Linked DNA regions of Caenorhabditis elegans. The protein of the gene in region 1 interacts with the protein of each later gene in a pairwise test. Each region holds a gene or a part of one and is shown in the gene's direction. Other genes may lie near its edges.

Evidence for each region.
Region 2: the proteins of gln-5 (region 1) and F40A3.6 interact in a two-hybrid assay, tested with the Caenorhabditis elegans proteins (one large-scale study listed by BioGRID).
Region 3: the proteins of gln-5 (region 1) and F26F12.3 interact in a two-hybrid assay, tested with the Caenorhabditis elegans proteins (one large-scale study listed by BioGRID).

What each region holds. Positions count from the first base shown.
Region 1 is NC_003282.8:17,269,931-17,275,473, reverse strand, and holds gln-5 (glutamine synthetase), read left to right. Parts: upstream 1-1,821; 5' UTR 1,822-1,840; coding exon 1,841-2,180; intron 2,181-2,228; coding exon 2,229-2,580; intron 2,581-2,624; coding exon 2,625-2,952; intron 2,953-3,002; coding exon 3,003-3,092; 3' UTR 3,093-3,243; downstream 3,244-5,543. Other genes in the region: atgp-1 (alpha-glucosidase), read right to left, coding at 3,415-3,525, 3,573-3,854, 3,903-4,205, 4,402-4,576, 4,627-4,715, 4,764-4,929, 4,990-5,387.
Region 2 is NC_003283.11:7,890,390-7,896,149, reverse strand, and holds F40A3.6 (uncharacterized protein), read left to right. Parts: upstream 1-2,287; coding exon 2,288-2,446; intron 2,447-2,987; coding exon 2,988-3,155; intron 3,156-3,198; coding exon 3,199-3,396; intron 3,397-3,442; coding exon 3,443-3,528; intron 3,529-3,728; coding exon 3,729-3,894; 3' UTR 3,895-4,032; downstream 4,033-5,760. Other genes in the region: F40A3.7 (G-protein coupled receptors family 1 profile domain-containing protein), read left to right, coding at 330-520; F40A3.1 (Conserved secreted protein), read right to left, coding at 897-999, 1,406-1,542, 1,586-1,819, 4,497-4,583.
Region 3 is NC_003283.11:5,838,548-5,848,093, reverse strand, and holds F26F12.3 (IBR domain-containing protein), read left to right. Parts: upstream 1-2,374; 5' UTR 2,375-2,418; coding exon 2,419-2,456; intron 2,457-2,616; exon of another isoform or gene 2,617-2,764; intron 2,765-3,467; exon of another isoform or gene 3,468-3,605; intron 3,606-3,608; exon of another isoform or gene 3,609-3,771; intron 3,772-3,861; coding exon 3,862-4,196; intron 4,197-4,439; exon of another isoform or gene 4,440-5,363; coding exon 5,364-7,447; intron 7,448-7,498; coding exon 7,499-7,632; intron 7,633-8,180; coding exon 8,181-8,262; 3' UTR 8,263-9,137; downstream 9,138-9,546. Other genes in the region: F26F12.2 (uncharacterized protein), read left to right, coding at 9,507-9,546.

The sequences.
Region 1 (5,543 bases):
TTTTTAAAGAAAGAGTTTCGACACTTGGAAAAAATGAAATTTTCGGGATGAGAAGGGTCACTGAACCCACAGGGCCTTGCTTGACATGTGGCTGAAAAAAAGGAAACTCGGCCAGCCTCCGGGAAAACCAAAAATTACAAAAAAATGTCAAATTACAAATACCTTTACAAAATGTGAGTTTCGACATTCAAAGGCACACGCCAATTATTCCATTAGATCCCAGCAGAGATCGCGGTGGGACCCAAAATAATGTGTGTACCTTCAAACGCAAAAACAGAATGTTGACAAAAAATTTTTTTTTTGAACTTCCTGGGCAAGGTAAGAAGGGGTACAGTAACTTTCAATTGAACAATGTAATTAGATTAAAGGCGTATAGTCTATGTTGGAATTGTCTAAAGTTAAAATAGATATTATACATTTTAATTTTAAGAAAACCAATCGTGCCAAGACCCAAAGGGCAAAGAGTATCAAAATGCAAGAAGTGGCCTTTAAGGCAGTGGCCGACCAAAAGTGTCTCTAAACAATAGGCGAAAAGTGATAAAAACTAGGAGAAAAGCAGGATAGAATTTCCTTTTTGATTCGAAAAGAGATAGTCAACACAATGGTCTCCCTCCGGTCGAGCCCATCGCAGAGCATCAAATACTGTTTTGGACACCTTTCTACGGACTGAGACGGGCGGCGCGCACAACCTTTTGTTTGTTAGTTTCGGGTTGATAGAAATGGAAATGAGAATGCGAAATTTACGATTCATCACTTTGATATTATATTGATAGAACGGATGCGGGATGTGTATGCTCAATCAGCCTTGACATTTTGAACTTGCACAAATATTGAGAAATTTGAACCTGATTTATCTATGGAGCGCAGTTGGTATCATGAATTTGAATTTCATTTAGAGATATCCTTGATCACTCGTGGGTATCTCGAATCGATCTGATCAGAAGTTTGCTGGTTCTTAGCGGGTACCATGTGCCGAAATTTTTTTTTGGAGATGAAAAACGAAAAGCGAAAAAGAAAAAGATAAATCTACAGCCTTTCCACTTTTTCGAATTTCTATAGATTTTCCAGAAATTTTCTTGTTTCCTATATTTTCTCGAACTTCCAAGATATTTCCGGGGCGTTCCAAAATCGTCTTTATTAAAAAAAAAACGTTACAGTACTACTACAGTACTCTTTATGCCTTTGGAAGTTAAAAACTAGTTTTAAACATCATTCTACAGTACCACAACATTACAGTAGCCTTTTTGTTTGACCAAATTAAACCCAAATATTCGAATATTTTCCTCAAAGGCTTAAAAAATTTTTTTTTAAAGACGCATAAACGCGGGCCCATCTAAATACACTATTTTAAAATTTTAAATAAGACATAGAAAATCTGAATCTGAAAACTTTTTCGGTTATCTGAAAATAAACTCGTAATGGAAGTTTTTTTGAACCAACTGTTTTTTCTATTTTGCATACGCAAAATACTTTATTAAACGAGTTCGATATCCGGATATATCCGGGTTTGCGTTCAAATTTTAAATTCGCGCTAGAATTTTGCCGCGTCGCGGTCGCCCGCGACGCAACAAACGACAATGAAAATTAAATTTTCAGCGGCGCCGGCGCCAATTTTCTTCGATGTTTCGATGATTTTTCTTCGTTTTCTTGGTGTTTTCTGTTTTATTAAAACTTTGGACAACCAATAGGATATCCTATGCCATTTTTTCTTCACTAATTCAGCTTTTTTTTCGATTTTGCGAGCGTTTTTATACACAAATTTGTTTTCTTTCCATATTTTTTCTTTATGTTTACAGAATCATTTCAATTTATTACTTTCAGCTCACCTCTCGTCGTCATCATGTCCCACTTGAACTACGAAACTCGTCTTCCTCTCGGTCAAGCCACCATCGATCATTTCATGGGACTCCCGGCTCATCCGTCGAAGTGCCAAGCGACATACGTCTGGATTGATGGAACCGGCGAACAACTCCGTGCAAAGACTCGTACGTTCAATTTAAAGCCTCAATACTTGTCAGAGTATCCAATCTGGAACTATGATGGCTCTTCAACTGGCCAAGCTGAAGGATTGAATTCTGATCGCTATTTGAGGCCTGTTGCAGTTTTCCCAGACCCATTTCTTCAAGGACACAATGTGCTTGTGATGTGCGAAACTCTGGACGAAACTATGAAGCCAACAGGTATTTTATAATTTTAAAGTTCTTCCTTGAATCTTTCATTATTTCCAGCAACAAACCATCGTCAAAATTGCGCTGCCATCATGAAGAAAGTAGCCGAGCATCATCCATGGTTTGGAATGGAGCAAGAATATCTGATTGTCGACAGAGATGAACATCCACTCGGGTGGCCAAAGCATGGATATCCAGCTCCACAAGGAAAATATTACTGTGGAGTTGGAGCGGATCGCGCTTTTGGACGGGAAGTGGTGGAGACACACTACCGTGCCTGTCTTCACGCTGGAATCAACATCTTCGGCACCAACGCGGAAGTCACTCCAGGACAATGGGAGTTCCAGATCGGAACCTGTGAAGGTATCGATATGGGTGATCAACTCTGGATGGCAAGATACATTTTGCATAGGTAATAAACTTTCAAAAAATACAAAATCCAATATTATTTTTCAGAGTCGCTGAACAATTTGGAGTGTGCGTTTCATTGGATCCCAAGCCAAAGGTTACCATGGGAGACTGGAACGGTGCCGGTTGTCATACCAACTTCTCGACAATTGAAATGCGAAGACCAAACGGTCTGAACGCCATTTTCGAAGCTATGAAAGGCCTCGAAAGAACTCATTCGGAAGCCATGTCGGTTTACGATCCAAATGGAGGACGGGACAATCTTCGACGCCTCACCGGTCGCCACGAGACTAGTCAAGCTGACAAGTTCTCCTGGGGAATCGCCAATCGTGCGTGCTCAATTCGGATTCCACGTCAAGTCGCTGACGAGACGAAGGTCAGTTTAAATTTAATCAATGTTCCAAAACAAGATTTTCAAATTTTTAGGGCTATCTCGAAGACCGTCGTCCATCATCCAACTGCGATCCTTACCTGGTGACAGCAATGATTGTGAAGAGCTGCCTGCTCAGCGACTGACCCAACGACTAACAAATTCATGTACATTAGAAACAATTATTACCACTTGTATTCTGAACAATGATCTCACATTTCGATTGTATATTTCTAGATTGTTGTATTATAATTATTTTTGCATCTAGACACCCCCCGAATAAACTAACGCATGATCTTTCTGAATTTTTAGCTTTCAATTGGCAGTGTACAAAAATGGTAAATTTGGAAACTCTTTTTCATTTTGAGAAAGTAGAAACTTTTTGTTAGAACATGAAAATTTGAAGATGAACAAGGAATTAGGTTTCCAAAGGGAAAGAGACAGATAAAATATATTCAGATGGGAATTTTATAGTTTGAGGAGGACGGCCTGCTTTGGTGGAAGTACCAGAGGCGATTCGACAAAGTTGTGATGATCTCGAACTCTGTAGTCGGTGACGTTGGCGGTAACAACAGAGATCTGTAATTTTAAAATTTACACAAAATACAAAGAATATTAAATCTCACCTCTGCATTCAAAAGATCCTTGTTTGATGGAATCAATTTTGAAGCGGGCTCAATCGAGAAATCGATCTTCTGCTCCTTATCTCCAAAGTTCAGAGCCACAATGAACGTGGATCCAGTTGCAGTGTTATTGACAGCCTGCACGTAGCGAGAGAACAGAATCACGTCTTCGTTGATCAGCTCATCACGAACGGTTTCTCCAACAATCAGAGCCTCGTCGCGTTGGCGAAGCTTTGCAAGCTTACGGTAGATCTTGAGAGCAGAGTTTTCAGTTTCAAATTGAGTCTATAAAAACATAAAACTATTATTTTTCAAATCAATATTAAACCCTACATTATAATTGTCCAACTCCAATTTATCATCGCTTTCCGGGAAGAAAATCGGAGCATCGTTTCCACTGAATCCGTGATGATCTTTTCCAGCTGGATACCACTGCATTACACCCATTTGCTTGAACTCTCCGTTCTTGCTCATCGCGTCTTTCAGACCGTATTCTTGTCCATAATACACAGAATTCGCTCCGGGAAGTGTCAATTGAAGGAATGAGAGAAGATGGGCGGTGGCTGATTCGAAACGAGACGCCAGACGAGAAGCTTCAGAGTTTGAGAATTGCCAGTGTGGAGTGTACTTGGCCACCTGGAAAATAATGAAACAATTGCAAAAGTCTTAGCGGGTTCTAGTCTATAGACTTAGATCTAAAAAAAATCAATTAAATTTTTAGTTTTCTACCCAACTACCACAAACACAGTTCTAATATCTAGGAAACTTACCGGTTTCCTATACTTTTCGACCTGAACTCTCAGATTTTAAGTGAAAGTCGAAATAAAATTACCTCATGTCTTTGATAAGCCGCATTCAAAGCGTCATGAACACATTTTGCGACGTGTGGCTGACATTTCTTCTCGTCCAAATTGGCGAAAGAGTTGTCAATAACGTAGTGAAGAAGTCCGGTCTCTGTGGCCTTCACGTGCAAGTCTTCAACGTCTTTTAGTGAGGAGAAGAGGACACTAAAATATTCTCTTGATTTTTTTTCAAATTTTAACAAGAAAAACCATACATCTTCTTATCTACCAACTCATCCCTTGATTCAACATATATTTGGACAGATTTCGTGAGCTCCTCGAGCACTTTAACGGCTTCATCATGCTGAAATTTCGAATATAATTTGTATGTTTCTTTAGGAAGTTGGCTTACATTTGGTCTTCCTTTAGAGTCAACAGCCAATTGACTAATATGATCGATATGGAATCCGTCGACTCCTAGATCCAAGAATTTTTGAATAGCTCCATTGATTGTCGATTTGACGTCAGCGTTCTTCCAGTTCAACACTGGATTCTGGCTTGATGGGTAGCCAAGATACCTGAATTAAAATTAGATTTAGAACAAGAATAATTAATTGAAATAGTTCGGCGTCTCATACTTAATATTATTAGCTCCATGGAATGGGTAGAAGTTGGACTCGTTGAATCCAGGATCTGTCGGTTTTGCGATAACGAATTTCGACTCGTCACGACTCTCGAACCATGGGTGGGAGAGATCAATGGTAGACACAGGGAGATCCATCACAAGATACATTGCTCTATTATGAACTGTGTCGATAAGCTCCTTAAACTGCTCCTCAGTTCCGAATCTCTCATCGACGGAATTGTGATCTACGACATCGTACGAGTTGAAGTACTCATCCTTATGAATCTTGATGACCGGTGTTGGATAGACAGTGGTGACTCCGATCTTCCGGAGGAAATCGATTTTCTGTGAGATTCCAGCGAAATCTCCGACTCCGTCGTTGTCCGAATCGTAGAATGTTGCGGTGAGCAGCTGAAAAGCTTCTTTGTGTTATTTAATTTTCCTTTGATCTTTCACATTCTCAAGCCGTATATTCTAAGGATTTTGACGGATTTCGAATAATAATGAACCTCCGAAAGAGATGAATAGGAAAAGAGGGGGGAAATGATTAATTGTCGAGATAAACAG
Region 2 (5,760 bases), on another chromosome or scaffold:
CATGAAAAACGTTCAAAAAAATATAATTAAACTCCAACTAGATTCTGGAACATTTTGCAAAATACCATAAAGTCGCTGTAATCCATACGCTGAACCCATGCTTGCAAGCAGTATCCATCATGATTCAGAAGTGCAAGAGCGCTCTAATGTTAATCAGTTTGAATTTTTTGTTTGGAATTTTTAAAGCCGATATTGTTTTCTCAACCCCTAAAACAAAGGCAATTTTCAAGTTTTGAACTTTTTCAAAATATTTGTATTAGAGCGATCTTGCAGCACTCACAAATCCCCAATCTGCAACAATGCAAATTTAAAATTATTCAAATTTTCAGATTCTATCACTGGTTCACTTGTTCATACGACAAAACTTAGCACGGCTTCATCCAGACGTACTTCAATGCCAATTCAAGAGAAAAAACGATCATCATCGTGTGCTCCACTGGTAGCCAAGAACAGGGCTCTAAGCACTGTCGAAACAATTTATCAACCACTTTTGAATGGGAATCGAAAAGGAGATTTTTGATTTTATTGGTTTTTAAAATTTATATTCTTGTTTTTGAATTATTGTTTTTTTTTAATTCAATTTTCTGATTCTCGACTAACACGGGTAAATTGAAACAATGATGATCTCAAAAAACTTGGATATTGTTTATTATTACTTGATTCAATAAAATGATCAATATTTTTGATATATGGGATACCTGTTATAAATTGAGAGAGCACTCATATTTACAGAAGATAAAGCAGTGGAGGGGATGGGGGAAGGGGGACGAACTTATGAAAAGTGAATCACATTTTGACATGTTTTTTGAAATTATTCGACCCTTTAGGAGTTAGAGGACACAAGTAGAGGATGATAGGCGGTGTGGGGAAGCTGATGAACATTTTGGAACAAAAAACTAGAGATTAGTACAATCTACGAAATGGTCTTTGTCAAAGAGACGGCAGAATCGCTCCAATTTTGGACGCATTTTTTCGTTGATCATGCTCATTGCGGACATTCTGAAAAAAAAAACATTGAATTAAAATTTTGATTGAAAACTGACTACTTTCCTGCCTATTTCGCCTCGCTTACTGCCGTACCTACTGCCAAAAATGTGCATCAGAATAGGTTATATTCCAACATTTAACGCAATTGCGTAGAAGTACCAAACTTTAGAGATTGCCATCTTGCGGCGATCGTACGTTCATTAGAATTCACAATCTTCAAGACTATGCTATTCTTTCAAAAAAAGGTTAAATTTCTTAACTGCCATAGAAGCGATATATCCACTTTTAAAGATATTTTTGTTGATATAAATCCGCAGTTAACAGACTCAACGTGTCATATTTCATGTGAAAATTTAACCAAATTGATGTTTTGGCTTACTATTAATCTCGTTTCAAACTTTTGTAGAATGTTACATACCTGACAACGAAATTATTGCATCCGTCCCGAGTAACTTGCCATCTCCAATCCACATCAATTTTTAGTGGTGAAAATGCTTCGAGTTGGGTTTTCCTACTGTCGTAGCCAGTAAGACCTAGTCGTAGAAATTTTGTTTTCTAGAATTAAAAATATTATTAAAAGCTGAATGCATTGAATTACCTGCAGTTGACCCGGAATCTGCACATAGGTGAACGCATTTCTCCAAACTGGCATCTCGGTCCAGTTTTGGGCTCGAGTAGCGTAATCCACATTGGTTCCTCCATCGCAAACTCCATGTTCGGTACATGTTGATAAGTGCCATCTGATTGCAACTTTATCCCAATGTTTACATCTTAATACTTCGTTTCCTTTCCAAGAATATGTTCTGCTTCCAATTAGTTCCCAGTCATTGATCTGAAAAATTTCAATATTTTTGCTAGATTTTGAAAATTTCAAGTTAGCCGGGTCTTTCCCGGTTTGAGAGTAATTTTTAATCATATGAAACTATCAAATTAATTCCATGTCACATGACAACTCTAAATGTTTTCCCCTCATTTTTTGCCATCCATCCCGCATCCTGCTTCCTCGCACCGAAAGCACGATTGGCATGATGTAATGGCATCTCGGTTTCCTGCGTCTCTTCAGGTAACCTCACTATTTCACTCATTGAGAAGTTAGAAGATATTGTGTAATACAACTGAAGAGAACTGCTCTTCTTTCGTTTTCCAACATCCTCCTGCCTATCTCACGCATTTATTCGTTGTGGCGAGTCAAAACGTTTTGTTGATTATTTTTGTTTGTCAGTGATTTTGACTTTAGCTGACTGTTTTTTTAAATTTTAACGTGAAACTGTAGTTTTTCGAAATTTTTCCCACTGTTCAGATGTCCGAATACCTTGGATGGCATAACCGTAAGCCGGCCGCTGGAAGTAGAGGAAATTCAAGTTTTGATCGAGATATTGTGCCCGGTGGGGCTCACACAAAGAGCTACGAGAGCTATGTCAAGAATATTTTTCATCCAACGAATCGTCTCAGAGCAAAAGTAATGTTTTGGAACAGTTTTTATTTTTCTATAGTTCGATGTACTTTCAATTAAAATTATGAAGGCCCCTTGTACGTTTCTGCTTTTAAATTGGAATAAGTGGCATTTCAACAAAAAAACGCCCGTTAATTTCTTGGCTCTGCGACTCATTAAAGATTTATTCAAATAACTATTGTGATTTGTGGAACCCAGAAAAATCCGCAGAAAATCACCACCATAATCCTCAGTTGTTTTTTTTTAATTTAAAAATTGGACGTTTTGTGCGCAAACTTTTATAAAAGCCCAACATGGCCAAATATTAAAAAAAAATTAAAAAAATTTTCTGTCAAACTTTTCGAACGATTAGGTTTGCGAACGATTTCTTGCAATGCTGTAAGTTCAAAAACCTACATAAAACATAATCAAAACATGAAACTAGCAATTTTGGTTGACTTCGAAAACTATTATAGGAGAACAGTGAGCAATCGTGAGTTGCTTTTATTTTAAAATAAATTCTAAGCACTCAATTTTGTTTCCATGGTTAACAATATTTCTATTTTAGGATAAGGATCAACTGGTGCGAGACCACGGATTGTCAGCCACTAGCATGTTGAGAGCTGAACGTGAGTTCGGAAGAAGTGCTCTTGACGACAAGTACGATAGAGAGCACTTCTTCGAGAAAATGCCTCTCGAGAGTCTCTACGCCGAGTTGGGGCTCAAAAATCCAGCGGTAACTTTTTTAAACTTGAAATTTAAATAAGTGTATTTTTCAGGCTTCGAACTACCGTAGTTTCCAAGTATATGAGCCAAAATCATCGTCAGAATATTTTGCGGCAAGTTACGAGGCTGAACGTGAAAGACGAAAGAAGGATTTGGAACGGGAATTGGCTTCATATGATAAGGAAGATTACGAGGACTTTACCGGAGAGCCAAAGAAAAACTTGTATTCGAGCATTTCAAGCTATAGACCAGTAAGTTTAAAAGACTTTTAAAATTTTTTGAATTTCAAAATTTCAGCCACTGAGCAGCTACAAGTCTCGCGAAGATGAGGAATATGAAAAAAACAATAGAAAAACGCTTATTGATTATAAGGATTTTGACAGGTAGGCAATTTTTAGCAATTGAATAAAGTTTGATTTGTGCCAATTTTAATACAAGATTGGATTTTTTTTTCAAAAAAAATGCTGAACAGCTATTCAAAATATCCCATTCTTTCTCACTTCGACCTTACAAAAAAGGAAGGAAAAAAAACTAGTCTATATTTTCAGTTAAAAAAATTTCCGTTAAACCAAAATTCTTCCAGCTCCCCACTCTCCCCATACCTCTACCAATCCCACCCTTACGTTCGCAGTCAAGACTCAAGAATCATCGGATCCAACTTTGTGCAGCTAACTTCCCGCCCGAAAGACAAATTTATCTCAAAAATTGAGGAGACCTTGGCTATGGTCCGTGATATGCCAAGATATTAATAAAATTTTCTTATGAATTCTTTTTTTTTCAAATTAAAAAAAAAAAGTGTTTTCTTACTCCGATTCTGAAAATTCTATGTACTTCCGGTGTTGTATGATTTGAGGAAATATATGAATGAATAAACATTGAATATAGTCTTTAAATTTTGAAACTTTTTAATATGGGAAAAAGTGATTTTTGAATTAAAAACACTTAAATTTTAAAAAATATATATAGTTGGGATACACAAGTGTTAAAGCTTTTATTTATCTCGACCTATTCATAGCAGCTAAGAGAATTGCTGATATTGAGGAATTGTTTTTTTTTTATTTTGGAAATTATCAAAATGTTCTAGTTTTTCTATCACGAGTTTTCTATCCATTTTAATTATTGGAAAAATTCAGGTTTACTGGATATGTTTTTTTCAGAATTTGTAGTACAGCAACAATATTTTCCAAACTAAAAAAAATTCTTCTAACAATTCCACAGTTTTTAGATAGGCTGGCCAAGCTCAATTTATTGTTCCGATCGCAGAGCACAAGACGGTCCACGAAGTTTGATTTTTTTTTGCTTATTGCAGAAGTATTTTTTTATGTACATTTTTTTTGAAATAACAACTCACTTCTAGATGATTTTGCCACGTGGCGGTTGGTAAAAGAAGTATTATGACTGCAACGACGTTCAAAGAATTTCGAAGCTGGCTCCGCATCATGGCATAGCGAGACGGCTATAAGTGTATGTTTTTGCTGTAAAAATAATTTATAAATTCTGTTGGAATGCCCTCCATTGGTAGGAGTGCTGCTGCTAATGCGAATCAACAAGATGAAGATATTCAATAGAGAATGGCACGCAAACTGACAAGCGATGAAGGTAATAAGTCATTGCGGCGGCACATGCATACTTTTTTTGACATGCATCCATTTTTCATGCCCCCACTTGTTGAAAGGGGCAAAAAATGGAGAATGAGGGGAAGACAAGTAGAAGGGGAAGAGGACAAAAAAGAACCTACAGGAGAAACAGAAAATTTATGAATGAGTGAGGAAGACGCTGACAAACATTTGAAAACTGAGGATGGTGACCATTCAAGTGGTTGAGACGATAATTGGTGCAGTTTTTCAAGAACTGTATTGTGAAATCAAAGTGGTATTTTGAAAATTTCTCAATTATTGTAATTATCAAACTTTGAAAGCACACATAATTTGTTTTGAATTTTATTTTTTAATCTATTTCTGAAATTTTCTGAAATTTTGAACTACCGTTCTCTTCTCGCGGCGCTATCAGAAAAATGGCTAATTATCTTTTACTATGATATCTTTTACTTTTTTATCTTTTACTCATCCATTTTTTTCGAAATTATCTTTTACTCATTTACTCATTTTTTTTCAAATTTATTTTTTTTATCTTTTACTCATTTACTCATTTTTTCCATTTTTTGCTAAAAATCAGTTTTTCGGGTAAAAAAGTTGTCAGGAAGCCGATTTGGAACCTAAATTTGGCCAAATTTCTTTAGTTAATGATAAGGTTATCGTTATCTATTAGATAAAGTACTCCGACCACCTATCCGGTCTTCACTAGTCATATATCTCGATATGTATATTCAGGAAAAATTATTGAGAAAACTGATGGAGTCCTTTCTAAAATGCCTTTAATTGATGGAATTAACAGTTTTTATCGCTCATCTACTCAAGTTTTCCAATTTTAATTTTTTATCTTTTACTCATCATTTTGAAAAAAAATTATCTTTTACTCATTTACTCATTTTTTTGAAATTTTACCAAAAAAAGAGTTTTTCGTGTAAAGAAATATTTTCAAGCCGATTTGGTTGATCAAACTGCTCAGTTAACGTTGGTTAGTGATGTTCTATAGATAAACTGTTGGAAAAAATT
Region 3 (9,546 bases), on another chromosome or scaffold:
TTCTTTTTCTTTTGGGTTTGGTTTCTGAATTTGACATCAATCGAACCTGTTATTAGGGTGTGTATGTTACTGTACGACACGATAAGCGAGACTAAAAAGGTGACCAGTTGCTTTTCGAACCACTAGTTAGTCACATTATGAAACCTGCGCTTATCGATAAAAATGCAAAAAAGTTAGGGCTTCCATAATAGGCATAAGGTTTCTAGGCCTGGCGCCTGCCTGAAACCTATCGGCCCTTGGCCTCTTTTCTGAATTTTTGCCTGAATTTACAAATATTCTTTAAAAACGATTACAGACGTTTTGGCGCCAGCACAAAAGCCCTGAAATAAATATATATTCTTTTGAAACTTAGACTAGTTAGATTTTAATCTTCAAAATTTTGTTCATTTACTCCAAAAAAAGCGCAATGCTAACAAATTATATATATATATATATATATATATATATATATATATATATATATATATATATATATATATATTTCAAACAAAGATATTAGTTTAACTGCCCGGTAGCTTTCGCTAGAGAGAATCTGAGGTTTACCTCTAAGCCGGATCAGAGATTCATATTTCATAATTTTTTGATTTTCCGGAGCAATAGTCTTTGAATTGAAAAAATCACGTAGCACCTACTAGAGCGTAGGCATAAAGCAGATATTAATTTTTAGGGGGAATATCGGCAATAGGGAAATTTGTTGAAGTTGTACTAAAAGGACCGAATAGCATGGTAAAACTTTGATTTTTTTTTTGAAATCTTGGGTTCGAACCTGCAGCAGCAAACTCAAAAAGTTCACATTTTTGGAAAATTTGGCAATTTACCAAAACATTGACAAAAAGTTTTGAGAAATTTTTTTTGAAAATGTACAGTTTTTTTTTAAATGGTAGATTAGCCTAATTGTAAGTAAATTCAGATTAAATTCCAGCTGAAGATACACTCTAAACTCAATTTTGAAACCCCTCTCTATTAAAAAAACACTCTAAACTCAATTTTGAAACCCCTCTCTATTAAAAAAAAATAACAGTTTACCTTACTACCAACAACAATTCAACACATTGACCTAGATACACAGATACAAATAATAAACAAAACACTCAAATCTGGCTAACAAATCAATGACGCGTAACACCTTCCACCAACAGCCATGCGCGCTCATAAATTTCATAGAAACTCTGTTTCCAAAGGTCTAGATTTTCCAATGTACTACACCGACGACGACATCTGCCACTATAATTGGTGACCGACCATCGTCCCTCCCTTCATCTCATTTTGCTTCTTTCCCTCACACCCTATATTCTCTGTGTACATGTTTTCCCTTCTCTACGCCTTCATCGAACCACCCCAGTTGGGTGCTTTACTGGGGGGCAATCTAACACCCGAAGACACTCACATCATGCATTCGAATTTGGTCTAAATTTTAATGGAACGCTTGGTGATTCTATTGCAAGACTTTTGATCATCTCTAGAAATTTAAATTTTTTAAACAATAATTTCCCTTAGGCGTCCCACTTTGACAGTTTGTATCTCGATCGCCGTTGGCTTCATCAAAAATGTTTCAACTATGAAAACTTAGAGAAATATTTGATACACATTTTCACTCTTGAAAATGTTTTGATAAAGCTATCGCCAATTGAAATATGGCCTATCAAAGTAGAGCGAAGGTGGTTCTAGACTAATAGGACAAATCTTGCAGATTTTTTTAGTAAGCTTGATCAAGCCTAATTTAAAAGTAGTCATGCAATTTATGGCCTGAAAAGTGAACATTTTCTTGCAACTTGGAAATTCTGTTTACATTTGACGCAATGTGACTTTGCAATAATTTAATTTGGAAATTTGAAAGTTTCCACTTGACTGTTTCCTCTCTCAATGTAACACCTCATTTCTTGGAAATGTACAAAATTATTTGAGAAGATGATGATCAGATGATAGAAACAATACAAGTCAAAAAAAGCGAGAAGAAAATTGGAAAAAAGCCTGTGTTTCCTTTCGATTTCCTTCCATCTCAATCACATGACGATGACCCTCTAGCTGCTGGCTGCTGTTGGCTGCCCCCCGCTTCCTGCATCTCTGCTCTCTTTTCCTCGTTCTCCTCCTCTTCGTTTCATAGTCCTGAGGTTTTCTGAGACTTGTACTCAAAAATAGACACATTGTGTGGTTGACTTACTGCTGTTGCTTCTCCTGCTGCCGGAGCAAAACGAGATAGAGCACCAGACAGTTTGTCGCTGGTTTCGTCGCCGTTCCCCCTCTTTTTCTCTGGGTGGCTCTTTTCTTGTACCGCCCGTTTATTTTTCTACCTACGTTTCTGCACCTCTTGCCGTTTTATCAATAATCTTCTAACTTTGTGCATAATATTTTTCATTTATTTGTATATTTGCAGGCTCAGCGCAGTCTCCCTCTTCCTCCTCTCCTGAAACCTGCTTCATGTCCGTCCAAGACAAGGATGTCGGATTTGAACTCAAGTAAGTTTTCGACGAAAAAACTTTCAGCACACATAGAATTCGTTTTTAAAATACTTTCCAATTGTATATTTTTTGAGGTTTTAGTAACAACTAGTTTATAAACCTAGACACTAAAACAACTCGATCTGTATAGAATTTTATAGTTTCAAAAGTATACGGCCATAAAATGAACGTTTTTTGTCGTGCCACATAGAATGTCTGCCGCCTCAAAAATAGTTATAAATTCTGCATAAAGCATGTGAGACATCGTGTCGGTGTCACTCGTGACCACTTTTCGTTGAGAAAATTGTTGCTGCTGTATTTTCGTTGCCATTTCCATTTCCGATGAACACATAGGACTGGATTCACTCGAATCTGAATCTAAATCTAAATCGCCCGTTGATTCTTTGATTCTATTAGTGAGTAGGAAAACTTTTGTGGGGGGGGGGGGGGGGGGGGGAGTTACTGTAGAAAAGATCAATGTTCTAGACTATAGGGCTCCGACGAGTGAAAACTTCCCTGAAACGACTTTGATAACGTTGTATTTCGATAGCATCTTTGTTTCGAACAAAGTTTTTTGGTTTTCTGTTATCTTATCTACTGTAGGAGGACGATGTGTACTTTGAGCAGATGTTTGAGTAACTGTTACAGGTGGGAAAGAACATCTGTCTCGATGGTAGTCACCTTGGGAACTTGAACACTTTGTAGGGATTAGAGGGATCTAGACATTTCATGTGGTTTGATCTGGTTCAAACAATCAAACGTAGTCTGTAGGCAGACATAACCTGAATTTTTTTTTTTGAAAAATCTTTGCTGACCAACTTTCTGCCCTAGCCTTGATGCATTGTGGTGCCCTTATTTGGGCAACGTAACCATGAATCAAGAAGTTTTGTTTCCTGATCTTAGACATGTTTTTTTTTTCTCCGATCAACATAGTTCAGTTGTGGTTGTTTGTCCCTGACGAATATATTATTCAAAACTCGGATACTCAGAGAAGCAAAGCGATCAAGCACGTGTTCTCTATCTCCCACTCACAGTTCCTCACTACAACTTTCACATTTTTCCTCGTGATGATGTCATCACCGGTGCCACAAGCGGTCGCCAAACGTGTAGTCACGTGGCACCCAAAAACATGAATGTCTCGTGTATAAATAGAGCCAGGCGAAGGCCGGCGCTCGGTTACTTAGACTTTTTCAACTATAGACTTTGACAAAACAATCGACTATTATGTTTAATAGTGTTTCACTGTATTTGGCCACTACTAATCCGATGATGCCATCTACCAGTAGGCAATGTCGGTAAGATCTTTGCCGCTTTGGAGTTGATTTAAGAATAGGTAATTAAAAATGTGTCAAAACGTATTATGATCACTACTCTACTAAATCTATAAACTAATAAACTGATTGACATAAAAGCTTATTTTCAGCGAAACGGAATTCCCGGAATTGAGTGGCAAACTGACGGGCAGGAAGGAGAAGGGCAGACGTAGCGCGGTGGCCAACCGCCATGCACGCCAGGCCGCCAAGGCTGGCGCATTCCTCGTCAAGACCATCGACGATCCGAACCACGTGCTCGGAAAGAAGCGCAAGGAGCGCGTCGCTTCGGAAAGCCACGATGGCATCGCCTCGAACGTCCTGTACTCAATGAATAAGAACAAACGTTGGGAGGCGTTGGAGGCTGAGACAACGTGGGAGACGACGGGCGTTGATGGAAGATCGTCAATGCCTGTGCAGATTGTCGAACGTGTCTTAACTGCTAAAGGTAGGATACTGTAAAAGTTTTCGGTCTATGAAGCCTCATCACACGTTATCTCTTCAATTTTTATAGCCATTATGATGTTTTATTCGCTTCATTTTTTCTTCCTAGTGCGCCGCGAGAACAATTCATAAAAAAACGACTAGATTCTATTGCATGCCAAAGTCAAAGTACACGAAAAATGAATAGTTGATCGAAAAACACATGACACTGCTTTGACTCTCCTCCCGATAAGCAATAACTTTTCAGTGTGTATGTGTGTGCTGGCTCGTTCTTTTGGGAAACGGAGGGGGTGACTGGTGGTGTCAGGAGTTGTCGATCAAATGATCTGGTAGAGACAATTGGAATCACAAGACTTTTCCGTTGGTGGAATTATTTATTAGGACAAGATGTACTTGATTATATTGAGACATTTTGAATCCAAAACACTACACGTGCATTGAAAATTTGTTCCTGATTGGTTTGAAATTTTTGAGATTAAAAAAAATCAGCTTTTACAAATAATTAAATTAAGTAATTCTAACTGTTAGGATACCACAAAAAACACATTTTTTAAATGTTTAAGGTAAACGAATATCAACTTTTGTTCTTATCATTTTTGAGATACAAACTCAAAGTATTGCAGAAATGATATACCCTTTTTTTGTTTTAAAGGAGTATGGTCAGTTTGAATTTTGTCAAAACAAACTTACAATAATCTAACACTTGACTAAAACACTGTCCAATTATTTAAAAATATTTTTCAAAATTTTCAGGCAAAGTTTTGGTAAATTGCCAAATTTTTCAAAAGCTTTTTGAGTAATTTTGAGGATTTGTTTTTTATTTTCATGTGAAATTTGGTCATTTTAGCAAAATAGGAACTCTTCCAAACCATTCTCCCTTGAGTGTACTCTACTTTTAAAAAGTTGCAACGATCTAGATTTTTCGGAATGAGATTTCAAAACATGATTTTTTTGTTTAATTTGGACTTGATCTATCCAGAAAACTTGGAAACAAACTACAATCATTCATCTTCTTTTGATTCTCTCCCGTATAAATAAATATTCGTAAGAGCGCGTACAATGTCCCCTACAACAAGTGCATGTTCTTTACTGCCTTCTCCCAATACAAAAGAGTCACATGAGTGGCTCGTGCAATTTCACAATTCCCATTCAAATTGTTCAATATTTTCAGACACGATCGACAATGTGGTGTCATTGACGGAAATTGACAAAAATGGAGAAATTGTGCGACACGAGACCGCTGGCGGTAAAGGAGCCAATCTTCAAACACTTCTTGTCACAGGCACCACAAATACTAAGAAAACACGCAAAGCACGGAAAGAATCAGAAGCTTCGACGACTTCCGAATGCTCCCAAACATCAGAAGTTTCTTTGGATGAAAACGGAGAGCCGAAGGTTCAATACACAATCTATAAACCTCATAAGAATCACAAAGTGCTTGCTGGCAAGCTTTTCAATAGAAATTACAACACACGGAAGGCAGGAAAGACTCGTCAAAATCTGAAGCGAGTGGATCGTGATGATATGTCAACATCCATTGATGATATGCATCAGAGTGTTCACATTGACGACGCATACATCTACAAACCGAGTCGGGATTTCAGATTCTGCCTTGGCGACTACATTACCCCTGAATCTTGCACCATAAAACCAGTTTTCGTTCGACGCTCGAGCATTGAGAGTGTTCAGCCATCAGAAGCCGGAGTCATCACTTCTGATGAAACCGAAGACGAGTCAAGTGGACCTTTGAACGTTGTGGACATTTCCCAAGTGCTCCGTGCTCCACATACTTTCGAATGGACTCTTTTGGATATTTCCACGTGGGATACTTTGGAGGATGAAGTGGACGAGTTGAAAGCTGACAATAAAGTATACGTTCAGTGGCTTGATGCAGAACGTACACGTCTTTCCATTGATGCTTCTCGTCTTGTCCTCGGAGAAAAACAACCACATGGAGCTTCGATTCTGATGATTGTTGTCGAACGAGCGATCCTTTCAAAGAAAGAACATCTAAAAGTACTTCTCAACTCTGATATTGCTCCATCCGGACCATTCTCTTATCAGATTCTTAGAGGTCTTTTGAAGCATGCAGCCAATCTTCAAGAAGTTGTTGCAATTCTCTCAAAGCTGGTTGCTGAATGGAAAGAAGGAGGTGTCGCTGCCCCAGAATGCATCGATGTTCATCGTTCCCAAAAGAGTCGATTCGAATTGAAACGCGATTTCTTCCAACCAGCCTTCAATAGTTCAATGTTGGCAACTTCTGCGCCTGTAATGAGTGCTGAGAAAATGGCTTCCATTCTTCGTGACGAAGCAATGAGCAACGAAGAGCCAGAAGAACGATTTGAACGAATCGACTTTGAAACTGATGATTTCGACTTTGAAGATGCCGATGATGAGAAAGATCCAGTCATTGAGAAGCTGAAGTGTGCAACTTGCGATTGCACCAAGAATTCAGAACTCTTCGAATTGGATGACAGCTGGCAATGCCGTGATTGTCTCTGCAAGCACATCGTTGATCAAATCCGCGCCAAATGTATCCCATTGGAGATTCCATTTGTTCTTGGAGATGGACAATCGGCATATGATATCCTTCCAGCTATCATTCCACTTCCACTTTTGAACTTTTACACCAAGATCGCTGCTACTGAATCATTGGCCAACGTCGATGGTGGTGATATAGGAGAATGTCCATCATGTAAACAACTCGTCCATATCGACCACAACACCAATGAATTCAACACTTCTTCATGTTACTCATGTGGAATCCACTGGTGTCCAAAGTGTGAACGTGAACCTCACTTCCCTATGACTTGCTCCGCATTCGCGACATGGATCGGAAAATGGGAGAAAGAATATGAGCTTCATGTTCTCGAAAAGACTGAATATCTGAAACGCATCCAATGCGCGTGCGGATACACGATGGAGGTTCGAGATCAGGCATCTCGTGCCGAGTGTGGAGGATGTGGACGTGTCTTCTGTCCACAAAATCTTGCTATGCTCGAAGTTGCGTACTGGTCTCGTGATGAAATGACTGGAGCAGCAGTCAGAAAATTGGAGACATCGGCTGTCTTGCCGGCTCGTTGCGTCGAGTCAATTGTTGCCTCCAAGCAAATCAAGAAAGAATTCTCGGATGTATGTGGTGAAGCCCGTCAACTTCGTTTCTCTACATCCAAGAAAACCGAGTTTGAGAAAGCAGTTCGCAAACTCAAAAGTACCTACGCTGGCGTAGAAAAACTTCGCGATATCCGTAAGACGGTAAGTTCCGCATCTCTTGCAAGTCTTATAATTTTTTTTTTCTTATCACAGGTATTGACCATCGTCGAAAACGGACTCGCCTATGTATATATCGAGAAGAAACAAGAGGCATTGGCTTTGAAGCCACAACTCAGTAAGCTCATGAAACAGTGGCTTGCTATCGAAGCGGAAATTCAGCATCCAAGGTAATCCAGATACTCAGAAATTTTGAAGCAACTTTATAAATTTTTAAGAATGAAGGTTTCTCAGCTCACATTGAGACTTCCGATTAAACCCTAACGATTTGAAAAAGAATCTTTGAAATTGGTCACTACAAAAATTTTATCTGAAGAGGAGCACTTTGAGTTTGAAAAGTCATTATAAAAATATTTAAGTGCACATTTTCACTACTTTATCTCGTAAAATTGCTCCGAGTGTGGATTTTCTCAGACACGAAAATCAACAGTGAGAGAAATTTTAAGAGCCTCTAAAATTGTGAAATTATGCACTGGAGAATTTTTAGATTCTAGATTTAGTTTTAGATGTTTTTTTTTCTAGATTTAGATTCTTTAGAACTTTTTTCTAAAAGTTTCCCTCTGCTGCTGAATTTATGTAGTGGCCTATTTCAAACGCCCTCTTTCAATGGACCTAGGTTGCATTCGGAAGTATAAAAGAACTCAATATTATTTTGAAAAACCTTCTGAATCGAAGATAGCTTACTTACTTTATTTTTTAAAAAATTAATAATTTTCAGATGCGATTTCCCAACAAGATATGAAGCAATTGAGAAGAACCTCTCAAAAGTTCTGGAGCAACTCAAACAAATCAATGCCTAATTGTAGACTTCAGTGTAAATAAGATCAAGATGTACACTTTTTCATCTCTATCTGACTCCCCTAATCATACAACATTTATCATATTTCATACTGCATTTTCCCCCTCAAAATCTGAAACTAATCTTCATTTTTCTCAACTACCCATATTTCAATTGTAAGTCTGTGTCTAGCGTTTGTATGTCTTTTGCAGCTGAGCTTTTTTTGTAAATAGTGTACACAAAACATCTGAAAAAGAAAAACTCAAACCCCCCAAAAACACTTGTAAAATTGTCCAATTCACAAAAACAATATGTCGAAATTTATGATTTCGAACTAAAAAAAATTGTGTATATCTATTCCATTTGTATCTATTCACTTTTCATGTTCATATATTTTCTTTTTCATCTTCCTTTTTTCGCCTTCTGAATTTCTGCTGAAAATTCAAAAACCAATCTTCCATATGTGCTGGATCACGTATTTCCTTTCTCCTATAGGAATTGGCCAATTTTCATTTAATTCTAGGTTTTCCCTTTTTAGGCCCCTAATTTCTAATTTCCATCACCTCCTCCATCAAGAACGCAGGCGTTCAATTCGTTCAATCCCGAAAAATTTGCTTGCGAAGCTGCAAAAATTTGTGAAAATTGCAACAAAAAAATCCACAAAACCCAACTAATCGTTTGTCTCAAAAGTGTCACATTAATGTGAAGTGAAGACAATCAAAAAAAAATTGAAAATACCTCGTTTTCTATGTACTCAACTTGCCCTTATCCTATCTAATATGCCTAGATCGTGTTTTTTTTGTATTCAATTTTGCTTTAGTGTATATGTTTTCTGCCAGATCAATATGTATTTTCTCTGAACAAGTAACTAGCAATAAAAAATTTTGAAAGGGCAAAAATGTTCACTTGGTTTTTTTTTGGTTTTCGAAAGAAGAAAAGGGATGCAATAATAATGGCTCCGACATACTAATACAAAATATATGATATCAATGACTTACAATTTATTGTTATCCTCTGCTGAAACTCGCTGGGAATAGGTAAAGTTCGTTTTCGAAAAATTACAGCCAAAATCATACAGACTTTTGAAAAAACATGCGTAAATCGGAAACATTCGACAATTTGCCCGCAAAAAAGCTCCGTTTAAAAACATGTACAATGAATGTTTAATAGAAATTATTTGAATTTTGGCGAGACGTGTAAATTGTTATTCTCAAGATTAGCCACGTCGTTGTTTTAAATTATTTCTTAACTTTTTAAACAATAAAAATGACAGAATTTGTATGCGGTAATGATGAGCAGTCTGCTG